3 linked regions of the Ovis aries genome follow. Each later gene encodes a partner of the first gene's protein in a complex. Links are inferred from orthologs where the notes say so. Each region holds a gene or a part of one and is shown in the gene's direction. Other genes may lie near its edges. The genes, in order: EID3, SMC5 and NSMCE3.

Region 1 (4,220 bases):
TTGCCAACAAAGATCCATCTAGTCAAGCTATCGGTTTTCCAGTAGTCATGTATAGATGTGAGAGCTGGATAGTAAAGAAAGCTGAGCGCCAAGAATTGATGCTTTTGAACTGTGGTGTTGGAGAAGACTCTTGAGAGTCCCTTGGACTGCTAGGGGATCCAGCCAGTCCATCCTAAAGGAGATGAATCCTGAGTGTTCATTGGAAGGACTGATGCTGAAGCTGAAACTCCGATACTTTGGCCACCTGATGCTAAGAACTGACTCATTTGCAAAGACCCTGATGCTGGGAAAGATTGAAGGTGGGAGAAGGGGACAACAGAGGATGAGATGGTTGGTTGGCATCACCAACTCAATGAACATGAATTTGAGTAAACTCTCAGAGTTGGTGATGGACAGGGAGGCCTGGCAGCTGCGGTTCATGTGGTCGCAAAGAGTCCGACTCGACTGAACTGAACTGAATACTAGCCTTTGCTGCTCATGCATTTACAAGAAACTGTGCTCTCAGTCGTTTCAGCCGTGTCTGGCTCTTTGCGACCCCATGGACTGTAGCCCACCAGGCTCCTCTATGGGATTTTCCAGGCAAGAATACTGGAGTGGGTTGCCATTTCCTACTCCCAAACTGTGTGCTACGGTCAAAGAAAAATGAACCAGTAAAGATGCATTGGAGGGAAGGTAGGGCAGACACTTGCGGATGCGGGAAACCAAAACTTGAGATGCACTGAGGTGTTCTCTCCCCCTCTCCCCTCTCCCTCCCCTCTTGTGACTAATGAGCTGAGTCCTTCTCTAACTTCACGTGATTCCCCCGGGAACTAGTGGCAGTATTTTCCTACATAAGTTTGTCACGTGACTTAACAGCGTTCATGTTCATATCCTAGTAACAGATTGTGTTTAAAGTCTTCACAGGTTTCTCACCTTTTAGGGTTCAGATTTACTATTCACTCGGGGAGTGTGACCTGTATTTTTGCAACCTTCCAAATAGTCCTTTGGCGGAGACCCTGTCTACTTTATTCTTGTACTCCTGGATGCTGGAGAATCAGAGATCAGTTGCCTAACACTGGGGGACGGGGTAGGGGTGGGGTACGGCAGCGCACCTTTGCGCATGCGCCAGCCCGGACCCTTGCTCACCCACCCAGTCACCCGCTCCCCCTCCCCCATTGGAGTAGATTGGCGAGGATTTGGCTTTTGAAGGCCTTCAAAACACAATTTACATTTGTATAGTGAAGACCGAGTTCCTAGCAACCACTTTGCAAGTGAACCTTGGGAGTTCAGTCTTTCTGCAATGGAGACAGTGCAGGCCGCGATCCTTGGCTTTGTTAGCAGTTTGTAATTTAGCCAGATTTTATTTTTTAAAACAAAAAACACCACCCCCACACCCCGCCCCATCTTTTAATGACAGTATGCTGCAATATGTGACAGCCAATGTTTTAAAGTACGGTACGTTTAGTCTCCTCATAGTTTCGTCGTTAGATTTTGCAAGCGTTTCTTTAAAAGCTAGATGACACTGTCAGTAAACGCCAAAATAACGGCCGTCGCTTGAACCAACCGGTATTACTTCAGTGTGACGCCACGAGCCGGTTCTTGCCGGCGTTCTACGCGGGCGGGGGGACGCTCATTCGCTAACTGAGAGGGGCGGGGCCGCTAGGCCGCCGCTAGTGCGCATGGGTAGCGTCTTCGGCCCTGGGTGACCCCGGCAGTTTCCGCTGTTGGCCGAAACGTCGCGAAGACCGTTACCTGAGTGCCACCCGCCGCCGCCATGGCCGATGAAAATGATTCCCTGAGGGGAGCCGACGAGACAAGAGCGCAGCCGGTGGTGACCATGCCCAGTAGTGCGTACTTTCTGAAGCAGGTGGAGGAGGAGGAGGAGGAGGAGGAATCTTTGAAGGTGGAAGTGGCAGCGGCGTCTGACGACGAATCTGATACTTCCTCTGACGACGAATCTGATACCTCCTCTGACGACCTGAGCTGGGGGAAGGCCGACATCGACCCCAGCCTGCTGGAGCGGGTGGATGAAGAGAAATGCCGGAGTATCCGCAAGCAGTACCGGCAGCTCATCTATACCGTCCAGCAGAACCGTGACGACATCGTGAACACGACGAGCGACACCTTAACCGAGGCTCTCGAGGAAGCCAATGTCCTGTTTGATGCAGTGAGTCGAACAAGAGAAGCGGCTCTCGACGCTCAGTTTCTTGTTTTGGCTTCTGATTTGGGTAAAGAAAAAGCAAAGCAGCTGAACTCTGACATGAGCTTTTTTAATCAGGTGGCATTTTGTGACTTTCTGTTTATATTTGTGGGTCTAAATTGGATGGAAGATGACGGACGTGATCCGTTGAATAACTGTGACGATAACATAGCTCTTTCCTTCTGGGAGACAGTACAGAAGGAAGCGACATCGTGGATGTTACAAGCTGAAACATTCCACTTTCTTTTTGGTTCGTTCAAACCAGAGTCTGCGGCGCGAAAGCCGCGGCTTAATCACCGGAGAAAAGTTCAGAAAATGGAAGAGAATGGGGATATGCCTACAAAGCTGAGGAAGCTGGATCTGAGTGGCAATCAAGAAGCCACAGAAAAAGAAGTAGAAAGAATCTTGGGATTGTTGCAAACGTACTTTCGAAAGTATCCTGATACTCCTGTGTCTTATTTTGAGTTTGTGATTGATCCAAACTCTTTCTCTCGTACTGTGGAGAATATATTTTACGTTTCTTTCATTATAAGGGATGGTTTTGCAAGAATAAGGCTTGACCAAGACAGGCTACCAATATTGGAGCCAATTAATATTAATCTAGCCGGTGAGGGAAATGATCCCAGTTTCCACTGCAGGAAACAGGGAGTTATATCTTTGAGTTTACAAGACTGGAAAAATATTGTGGCAACTTTCGAAATTTCAGAGGCTATGATCACAAACTAAAGATTTTTGTTCTTAGTATAGGATGCAGTTTTGTTTACTTTGTAAAGCATAACATAGTGGAGAGTAAAATCCAAACAGAAGCACATACTGTATTTCTTGTGAAAAATATTTTCAAGAAAATAAGTTGTTTTACTGTGCGTTGTATTTTTCTTGGTAGTTTTATAAAGTTGTCATGGCCTTCTGTTACTTAAAAAATTCACTGGCGTATTCATGCAAAAGATTTTTTGACTGCTCCTTAAGACTTTATTAGTAAGAACTGAATTCCATAAAATAAAAGGTGTTTAATAACTTTTAAAAAATGAATTATGATGCTCTGTGATACTACATTGCTTTCTCTGCTACAGGGAACCAAGGGAATCCCATATGGGGCTCTTGATATGGGGCTCTTGACCAGGTTGGGGGAAAGAATGGGTAAAAAAAAAAAGGTCAAGAAAGACGGTAGGGCAGTGCGTAAGTCATGTTAATACCGTAAAAAATTCAGATGCTATGCTTCATTTCAAAGACGACTCATAAGATTAATGAGTGGGTGTCCTTGTTCTAAATAATTTCTACTGTGATGTGGGCTTAACAAAAGTAGACTGTCTACTGTAATAGGTGAGTCATCAACTAAGTACCGAAAGGTGAGTAGGAATTGATCAGAGATCGGGAGGGGAAATATGGAGGGTCAAATATGTGAAATTGTGAGAAGTTATGGCTCCAGAGAAATCTATGTTTTTTTTGGAAAACTATTCTATCTAAATGTTATACTAGGCAAAAATTGATTTACCATATCTGTTAGTGCCCTCTCTTTGTTAGATTATTTCAAACACAAAATCTTTTAACATCCAGTTACAATTTTTATCTGCTTGTTTTGTTTCTTCTCTGGCCCCTAGTTTCCCTTTGTAATTTCTGCTAGTACACAGAGTGTTCCTCAGAATTGGTGATGTTTCATTATGTACTGGCCTTGAATATTTGTTCCCAACTCAATTTTGATTTCTTAATAGGACTTTGAATGCCTGGAAACTCTCCCTGTGTAAATTGAAATACCAGTATATGATTAGTTTATCCAAATTTCCTTCATTTCCTATAAAGCTCTAAAGGCTGCTGTTGTTGTTTTAAGAATATAAATTACAACCTTACTTGGACGCTCCTGCTGAAAATTTTGGTTTTTAAGGAAACAGTTTTTGAAGGTATAGTGAGCATCCTTGCAAGCTGTTTTTCTTGATCTCTGTAGAAACAGTCTTTGGTAGTAGTGGGTCTTGCCATTAAACCTTATTTGGCAAGTGGATAAGGATCTGCTTTGTGTAACAGGAATAATAAAATTTTCCTGGTAAGT
Region 2 (4,331 bases), on another chromosome or scaffold:
TTACTGTGAAATCCCAGGCAGTTGTTCTCAGAACTGATTGTAAGTTTTATTTTGAACTTAGATGTTTTGTAGAAACTTATATATCTGATATATAAGATCAGATAAAAGCTGTTAGGGTGTTCAGTCTAGGGGAGAGGAAAGTGAGTTCCAGTTTCAAAGTTTTTCCATGCCCATTTCAGGACACAATGCAGACCTTTTTTGGTGATTATTCTATAGGAAAGAAGCATAAAAGAACAAAGATATAGGTATTAAAGACATAATAAATGACAGCTCATTGCCTTGAGTACAGTATAAATTTACCTTGATTTAATAGTGTTTCTAAACACATAAGTTGAATATTTTAAATGCTTTTTAAAAAAATTTTTTTAATAAAGCAAATTGCCTGTTAACTTTTAAAAGTCAGTAGCGTATATACCTTGGTTGCTTAAAAGAAGACATATCTGCTGAGTCTTAACTGCTTAGAATTCTTTTCTATATAAACCCTTCACTTTTATCTTCAGTCATCCACAAGTCAACCTTTTACTGTTGGACTGCTGTATTGAACTCATTGTCTGAAACTAAACTTTTTCCTGGTAATGTTGAATTTTGTAGTGAAATATCCTTTCATATCCATTGTCATCCTGGCTGTCTCATATCTACAGTTACTCTGGAATACTGCAGTGGTGACATGGTTGGTGGTCTCTCCATGACTCATCTCCTCCATTCAGGGCATACAGAATACTGTCATCAAGTTTATCATCTTTTCATGTTCCTGCCCCCTTCAAGATATCTGTGGTGGCTTCCTACCTTTGCTGTATGAAATTTAAATACTGCTTTCCTTTAGATTGTCCTTCACGTTTTTCAAAATCTTCTTGCACTCCACACATTCTAATTTCCTCCCTCTCTGCCCCGACACACTCTTCACTCACCATTCAGTCCACTCTCTACAATATCCACTGAACTTGTTTATTCTTATTTTCATTGCTTCCATCTTTGATTTTTCCCTGTAGTGGAAAGAACTTGGCCCTTGATGTCAAACACACCTTACAACTTAGTATATGTAATGTTAGGTAACTTAAGTAAACTTCTACAGCCTTAGTGTCTCCATATTGAAAAGCAAAGTATTAACTTTTAGAATTGTTGTATTGTCTTTTCATCATTATTATTTTATGTATTAGATTGCCACAGTTAAGCTCCTTAAGGGAAGGGACTGTTTTTATAAACAGTGCTTATCACTTATGGACCAGACACTATACTAAGTGTGTTGCATGATTTGCCGCCTTCTTTTAGTCTTCACCAAAGCCCTGCAGAAGTACTATTATTACTTACAGTTTATAGATGAGGAAATCAAAGCTTAGAAGAGTAGCTTGTTCAGTTATACTGCTCATTGGTGGCAAAGAGGAATTTTAAACCCAAGTTTCTGACTCTAGATCCTATGGCACTTGATACATCTCAAAAAATAGTTTTTGATCCTGAGTGATTACATGAAATGTTTAATCAGGAAGCTATCAGTTAACATCTGAATAGTATTGCTACATAGACCATAAAGCAGCAAGAAACCTGAGAATTTGGGCTCAATCCTTGTGTTTTCTCTGATTTCTACATCATTATGCTTTTCATACAGTTTAAAGCTGATGGAACAGGATACTTGCAATCTTGAAGAGGAAGAACGAAAAGCAAGTACCAAAATCAAAGAAATAAATGTTCAAAAAGCAAAACTTGTTACTGAATTAACAAACTTGATAAAGGTAAATAAGACATTTTCATTTTAGTCATGTTTTTGTTGTTGCAAGTCGATAGTAAAATCTTAGCAAGAGATTTTTATAGGTAATTTCAACTTTCTCTGTTTGACATTTCTATTTACAGATCAGTAAATTGATTAAAAGTACTCATTAAGCTAAATTGGTTTATTCAAAATGACTCAAAGGAGAACTATTTAAGATTGGAGAGAAGTATCAATCGCATTAGAAAAATGTTAAACTATATTGTTGTAAAATAAAACTCATAGAGGTTTTTATTCCTAGAATTGTACTGCTTTACACATACAAAAAGTAGATTTAATTCTTCAAAATACTACAGTGATCTCTGAGAAGAACAAATTGGAATCAGATTATATAGCAACCTCATCACAGCTACGTATCACAGAGGTAAAATTATTGCTTTTATTTTTTATTTGAGGACTTCAGTTTGAAAACTATATATACACGTGTATGTATATATCATGCCTTGCAGTGTGCAGTTTTGGGTATGCTGTTTACAGATTTCATGTACTCTGCTGATTAAGAAGTAATATTTGAAACCCTTTGTGTACATTTTTGATTATTACCACCCTCCCCCAATTAAATAACAAAGAGTACCTGATTTAGTCATTTGAAAACCAAAATCTTACCATGTTTGCTTTCTTAGCTGATACAAATTATAGTTAGTACTATTGCCAAGAAGCAACTAGTAGCTTTTATTGCAGCTTGTGTCCCCTAAACTACAGATGAGTTCTGGTCAACACTAAGAATGGCCTTAGTGATCCCGGTGATTTAATCTTCTGTTAATGATAAATATTGAAATGGGGGAGGACAGGGGGTGATGTACTAAGTTAACATAAATTCCAGAGAAGAACAAGCAACAAAATGAGGTCGTAAGAGTGACATAGTTTTTGAGTCTTTCAAATCCGTTCCCCAAAATAGAAGAGCAACTGGGATACTATGATGATGTAACAGCAAGCCCGCAGGCAATGTATACAACAGACTCAGCTTAAAGTTGTCCCTGTAGGTGTACTGCAGAATATTCTCACACTCATCACCCAGGATTAGCATGAGGCTAGGTTAAGGGCTTAGTCCTTAATAAAATTGCCCTTCAGATGCCACCTGCTCTTCTGACCAACTGGTGACTGATTCAAGGGTTCTCATGGCTCCCCCAAGTTCATTAATTTACTGGAATGGCTCACAGAACTGAAGAAAAGGCTGTTCTCAACAATTACAGTTTTATTATATAAACAATACAAATCCCTACTGGTCAAAAGGCTTATAGGGCGGGGAGGGTCCTGCACACAGTTTCTATGCTCTTTTCTGGTGAAATAATTTGTTGCTCTCCTAGCACATCAGTGTTTAGAATTTTTACCGGGTTGCATTACCTAGGCATGACTGATTGGATCATTGGCCATATGGTTGAACTCGGTCTCTAGCCCTTCTCTCTGCAGTTTAAGAGACTGGGTGGGGATAATAATAAGACTCAAAGCCCCAACCCTTTAGTCACATGATTTGTCTTTCTGGCATTGACTTCCCCCATCCTGAGTCACTCCTTAGCATAAACTCAGACCCTCTGTCACTCAGAAACTTCCTAGGATTTTAGTCTTCCTCCCAAGAACCAGGGACAAACATCAGTCAAGTTCTGTGTTTTACGACAGCCATGAACCCCAGAATACCGGTAGGTGAGATAATCAGCAGCAAGACTGGTATGGTATTAGAAAGTATGTGGTAAGAAACAGAGGGAAGGCTCAAAGAACCCAAAAACTAAGTCACCAGCAGGTTCTCATCTTTTAAGAAAAGAGGCCCCATTTGGTGTAGAAAGCTCAGCAGACCAATTTCAGAGCAGCTGAAACTGGAAGGTGACTTTTAGATTGCAGAAAGGTCAGGTGGTGCTGGGGTGATTCAGGTCCTGTGAACTAGCAACTCACGTGAAACTGCCTTGCAGAACAAAGTTGCTTACTGAGGAGAACTAGAACTACTGGGCAGGCTAAGGAGACAGCAAGCATGTGTTATGTGGTCAGAAGGCTGACACGGTAGCTAAAGGCACCACACTTAAACACAGAAGAAGGGAGACAAGTAAGTAAAACAATATATTTGCTGACTGTCCTGTAGGTACTATTAGGAAATAAAAGGATACTACCTCAGGTTAGATGCTTTGGGAGAGGGAAATGAGGGAGAATTTCAATATTGTTTATAGTAGAACTGAACTGAGTATGTCAAAGATACTCAGGCCACAAGGATATAAGATACTTGTGCATAAATAATCTTTCAAATAAAAATGGCAGGATGTTTAGCATACATACATAATCAAAATAAAGACTTCTACACCTGCTGCCTTCCCTAACCTGACAGGGGAGTCTTCCTGTCCATATTGTTAGTAGCAGCAGAAGCAGTAATATTTTTGAGTTCAGCTGATTACTCTGGAGAGTAGAAAGGTTCTTAATTGTACTCTCTAGGGAAATAATCTCATTAGCTACTTGTCACACTAGATTTTCTTACCTGGACATACACACAAACTCCCTGACAGGTTTTTCCATTACTGATCTTCTTGACTTTATTTTCTATTTCCTTGGCAATATTTTATATTATTGTTTCTCTTTTTTTTATATG
Region 3 (4,378 bases), on another chromosome or scaffold:
CAGTTCCCATGTCAGCCTGAGGTGGAATGTGGCCTGGGAGACATCTCCCTGCAGTGCTTAAAACATCACCCGAATCCTATTAATTTACATCTCTATTTTCCAGACGCTGTGTAGAGAGGTGTTTTAAGACTTAAAACTGGTATTTTTTTCACCCATTTTGAGTATGACATCTGCTATCTGGGTAAAGATGTTGATTTTCATAGTCACAGGGGTTGCTAGACCTGTGGGATTACTAGGAACTGAAGTGACTACCTGAGCAAGACAGAACACTAAAAAATAACCCAGCCCAGCTATTGACAATGGCTTTCCTCTTATTTCCCATTTCTGTCATCTTTTGGTAGATTTTTTTAAACTCGAGATACAATTGATCTTTCTGAAGGGACCTTTTGCAGGATTCTCAACTGTAGGAGGTTTCTTTGCATTTGAGTTTAAATTTTAATTTGCAAGTAAACTGAAGCAGATGGATTGTCCCATTGTGAAAGAAAAAAATGAGTGCCTTGATGATACATTTGTTTTTCTTAGCAGGCTTCTGCCATTAAGATTAATGCCTGGGGATATACTGTTAGATCTTGTGTGGAAGAGAACGTTATTACTCATAGTTTACCAGATTTTAGCATTCTTGCATCACAACACAGAATATCATTTTACATTTAGTATTGCTTTTCCAGTGCCATTATCAGATTGCATTTTCATAGTAAATTACAACAAAATTTTATGCTACCAACATTTAATGAAATTTTAATAAGGTTGTGTTTTGATGTTATTATTCAAATAATGTGTTGTGAATTGCTTTCCTTTGAATATATTTGCATTAAAGAGGAACTCAACTTGATTTGGTTCTTTGAACAGTTTACCCACTTTCTGGTAGCTTTAAGAAGACAAAGAGGGAAATTAAGTTTCGCCTTTGCAAGTCAGTAAATAGAAAAGGAACCCATTTGCTAGGATCTGTGGATGTAATGGCAGCAGATTACAGATGGTTTGAGTTAATGAAATGACTCACGTTGGTTACTAAAGCAGCACAATTAAAAATATAAAGTAGATATTTCACAGATTATGACGGATGATAACCTGGAGTTTTCGCTTTCTCATTGATCTCTAAGGCTAGAGACTCACATGTTAGCAATTCTTGGTCAGAGATGCCCCAAATTAAATGGTAGTCTCTTGAGACCGACTTCTCTGTTGGTAGCATTCTCTTAGCCATTTCTGCCAGATCTGTGGTTGTGAGCCCAAGGCCCATCTTTCCATGAGCACGTGCTTCCAATAGATAAAACTCCCCGGATCAAGCAAAAACCCTCCACTTATCGTGCTTTCTGGGGTGACTGTGCCATAGCTGTCCGGCTGAAAGAGTTGATTACACAGAATATCAAGGCTGAAAGGTGAAAAGACACGGAGAAAGAGCCCTGTATGCGAGACGAAGCTGTTTACCATTGTTTCTAAACAGACTCGGGCTTTAGAGAAAGTAACTGGTGGAAAATGGTGAGAAGGGGCTGGCGAAGGCAAACTAGTAGTCCTTGGGGTCTTTTAATTGTCTTTACGTCGTTTCGTGTGGAAAGAAATTGCTCTTACTTCCTTTCCACGCTCTTCGCCGTATTTTTCTCCCATATTCATCCTGGGAGTTTCCTTCACCTACATACAGCCCTGATTTCAGAGCTTTTGACTCTCAAGTTTCTACAGCCCTGGCCTGGGTACGATCCTGAGCCAAGCCGCACACTCGCTCAGGAGCTCTGCTTCCTGTTCGCCATCTGCAGGGTTTGGTAATAACGACGACACTTAATCATAATACAGCCCGAAAGGCTGCAAGGAATACCCGCTTCTTACCGCCGCCGTCCGCGGCCGCTGGCCAGACCGGAGCGACCTCTAGACGCGGCGCGGCCTCGATGACGCAACGCGCAGCCTCCGTGACGCAAGCGCGCAGCTTCTGTGACGCAAGCGCGCAGCTTCTGTGACACAACCGCTTCTCCTCCGGGCCCTCCCACAGCCCCACGGACTAACGGCTAACCGACCTTCAATCCCTGCCACCGCTGCCGGTTACGGGGAGTCCGCGCGGTCGGGGTCCCGCCGCCGCGACATGTCGCAAAAGCCGAAGAGCCGGGGCCGCCCCAGTTCCCAGGGCGAGCGGGAGCCGAGTGGCGGCGGCGAGGAGGCCCCGAGCACGTCTCGCGGGCCGGGCGGCGCCGCGTCGCAGCGGCGGGCCCAGGCCTCCCCCGCGCCGGGGCCGCGCTCGCAGAAGCAGCTGGAGCTGAAGGTGGCGGAGCTGGTGCAGTTCTTGTTGATCAAGGACCAGAGGAAGATCCCTATCCGCCGCACCGACATCCTGCGGCATGTGGTCGGCGACTACAAGGATGTGCTCCCAGAGCTGCTGCGGCGGGCGGCCGAGCGCCTGGAGTACGTGTTCGGGTACCGGCTGGTGGAGCTGGAGCCGCGCAGCAACACCTACATTCTGGTCAACACGCTGGAACCGGTGGAAGAGGACGCGGAGGTGCGCGGAGACCAGGGAACGCCCACCACTGGGCTGCTCATGATCGTGCTGGGGCTCATCTTCATGAAAGGCAATACCATCAAGGAGACCGAGGTCTGGGACTTCCTGCGGCGCCTCGGGGTACACCCCGACAAGAAGCACCTCATCTTCGGGGAACCCAAGAAGCTCATCACCGAGGACTTCGTGCGGCAGCGATACCTGGATTACCGGCGCATCCCGCACACGGACCCCGTGGACTACGAGCTCCAGTGGGGCCCGCGCACCAACCTGGAGACCAGCAAGATGAAGGTGCTCAAGTTTGTGGCTAAAGTCCACAACCAGGACCCCAAGGACTGGCCGGCGCAGTACTGCGAGGCTTTGGCGGACGAGGAGGCCAGGGCCAGACCCCAGCCCGCGGGCCCGAGTCCAGCCACTGCCTCTGCCCCAACCCCTGCTCCTGTCTCTTGAAATCTGAGACACACCCCAGGGCCCTCTCCCTCCCCGGGGGAAGGGCTGGAGGTGGGAGGAAGCATCTTGATTGTTTAAATGCGTGGTAGTTCCAGGAAGTGTTTGCAAACTTTAATTCTTGTAATGTTGTAAGTCGTTTTGATTCTAAAATTTCATTTAGAGGGTGACTTGTTTTGTTTTGATTTGCTTCAGTGTCTGTGTTTTTTGGTGTAAAGATCTTGTTAGCTTTATAAAGCGAATTGGAAAACTTCCTACCCGGATCTGGAACTGCCAAGGAAATATAAGCGAACTGGCCCTTGTCCGGCCTTTGAACTGCCCCACTCTGTAAAGGAAAAGTCTTCGTAAATTGAAAACGAAAGTGTAATTGCCTATATCCCCTATTACCTTAACGCAGCTATTTAAAAAATCTGTTTTCTATGCATGTAAGCATTTTGAGTCATTCTAAGCAATGTGTGTATTGTAGTTTTTCCAAATAACTTTTTACATTGATAATTACTATGCTGTGTGGCTGACCATTTTGTTCAATTTTTTTTGCTACTATAGTTATAATAAATACTGTATTTTTGAAGCAATTTAGCATTATGCATTTATTTTAACCCTAACTCATGAGAAATTTCATGACTGAAAACTAGCATCATAAGGAAAAAAGAAAACAATTTTTGTTACATATCATTGAGGTAAATAGTGTTTTGTTGAAGTTGCTTTACTTTTATATGTGTGACATACTGGATCATGATGTAAAATTATTTCTGTGGGTCATGGAAAAGTTGATAAAAGTCTTAGTGATTAACCATGCCTATTTGGGAATCAGACTAGTGGGTTCAGAGTCTGCCTCACTTACAAATTTAAGGAGATTAAGTTGTACACAGACCTTTCCTTACCTATAAAACGGGTTGATGCTGCCTGTTACTGTGTATGGTAGTGTGATAATTAGGTATGGAAGTTTATGTAAAGTTATGGGCACAAATTTGTTTAAATTGGGCTTTTTTTCCTTGGCTTAGGACTGTTAAAGTTTTTTCTTTTTAACTTTTTCTTTCATTCTCTTGTAAATCATGACTGTCCTTCTAGTCCGACTCTACTGTGTGGTTTATGGAAAAATAGCTCACGATGGAGCCCACATAAACAGAGCAGAAAGTAAGATCCAACTGGGCTTGGAAGGGGTGTCTGCAGTGTAGTGAACAGGATATGGGGTTTTGAGGTTGTCTGACATCTCAGGACAGTACAGAACCCACCTGCCAATGTGGGAGACCCTGAGTTGGGAAAATCCCCTGGAGAAGGAACTGGCAGTCCACCCTAGTATTCTTGCCTGGGAGGTTGTCTGACATCTCAGGACAGTACAGAACCCACCTGCTAATGTGGGAGGCCCTGAGTTGGGAAAATCCCCTGGAGAAGGGACTGGCAATCCACCCTAGTATTCTTGCCTGGGAAATCTGAATTCTAGCCTGGTGGGCT

What was found.
Region 2: EID3 (region 1) and SMC5 share a complex: the UniProt entries of both Homo sapiens proteins name them as parts of the SMC5-SMC6 complex. The link is inferred for Ovis aries from reciprocal best matches to the Homo sapiens genes EID3 and SMC5.
Region 3: EID3 (region 1) and NSMCE3 share a complex: the UniProt entries of both Homo sapiens proteins name them as parts of the SMC5-SMC6 complex. The link is inferred for Ovis aries from reciprocal best matches to the Homo sapiens genes EID3 and NSMCE3.

What each region holds. Positions count from the first base shown.
Region 1 is NC_056056.1:173,526,518-173,530,737, forward strand, and holds EID3 (EP300-interacting inhibitor of differentiation 3), read left to right. Parts: upstream 1-1,709; 5' UTR 1,710-1,753; coding exon 1,754-2,905; 3' UTR 2,906-3,204; downstream 3,205-4,220. UniProt on the Homo sapiens protein: Tissue-specific component of the SMC5-SMC6 complex, a complex involved in repair of DNA double-strand breaks by homologous recombination.
Region 2 is NC_056055.1:66,334,159-66,338,489, reverse strand, and holds part of SMC5 (structural maintenance of chromosomes protein 5), read left to right. Parts: intron 1-1,603; coding exon 1,604-1,727; intron 1,728-2,003; coding exon 2,004-2,126; intron 2,127-4,331. UniProt on the Homo sapiens protein: Core component of the SMC5-SMC6 complex, a complex involved in repair of DNA double-strand breaks by homologous recombination.
Region 3 is NC_056071.1:25,979,233-25,983,610, reverse strand, and holds NSMCE3 (non-structural maintenance of chromosomes element 3 homolog), read left to right. Parts: upstream 1-1,944; 5' UTR 1,945-2,068; coding exon 2,069-2,926; 3' UTR 2,927-3,498; downstream 3,499-4,378. UniProt on the Homo sapiens protein: Component of the SMC5-SMC6 complex, a complex involved in repair of DNA double-strand breaks by homologous recombination. The complex may promote sister chromatid homologous recombination by recruiting the SMC1-SMC3 cohesin complex to double-strand breaks.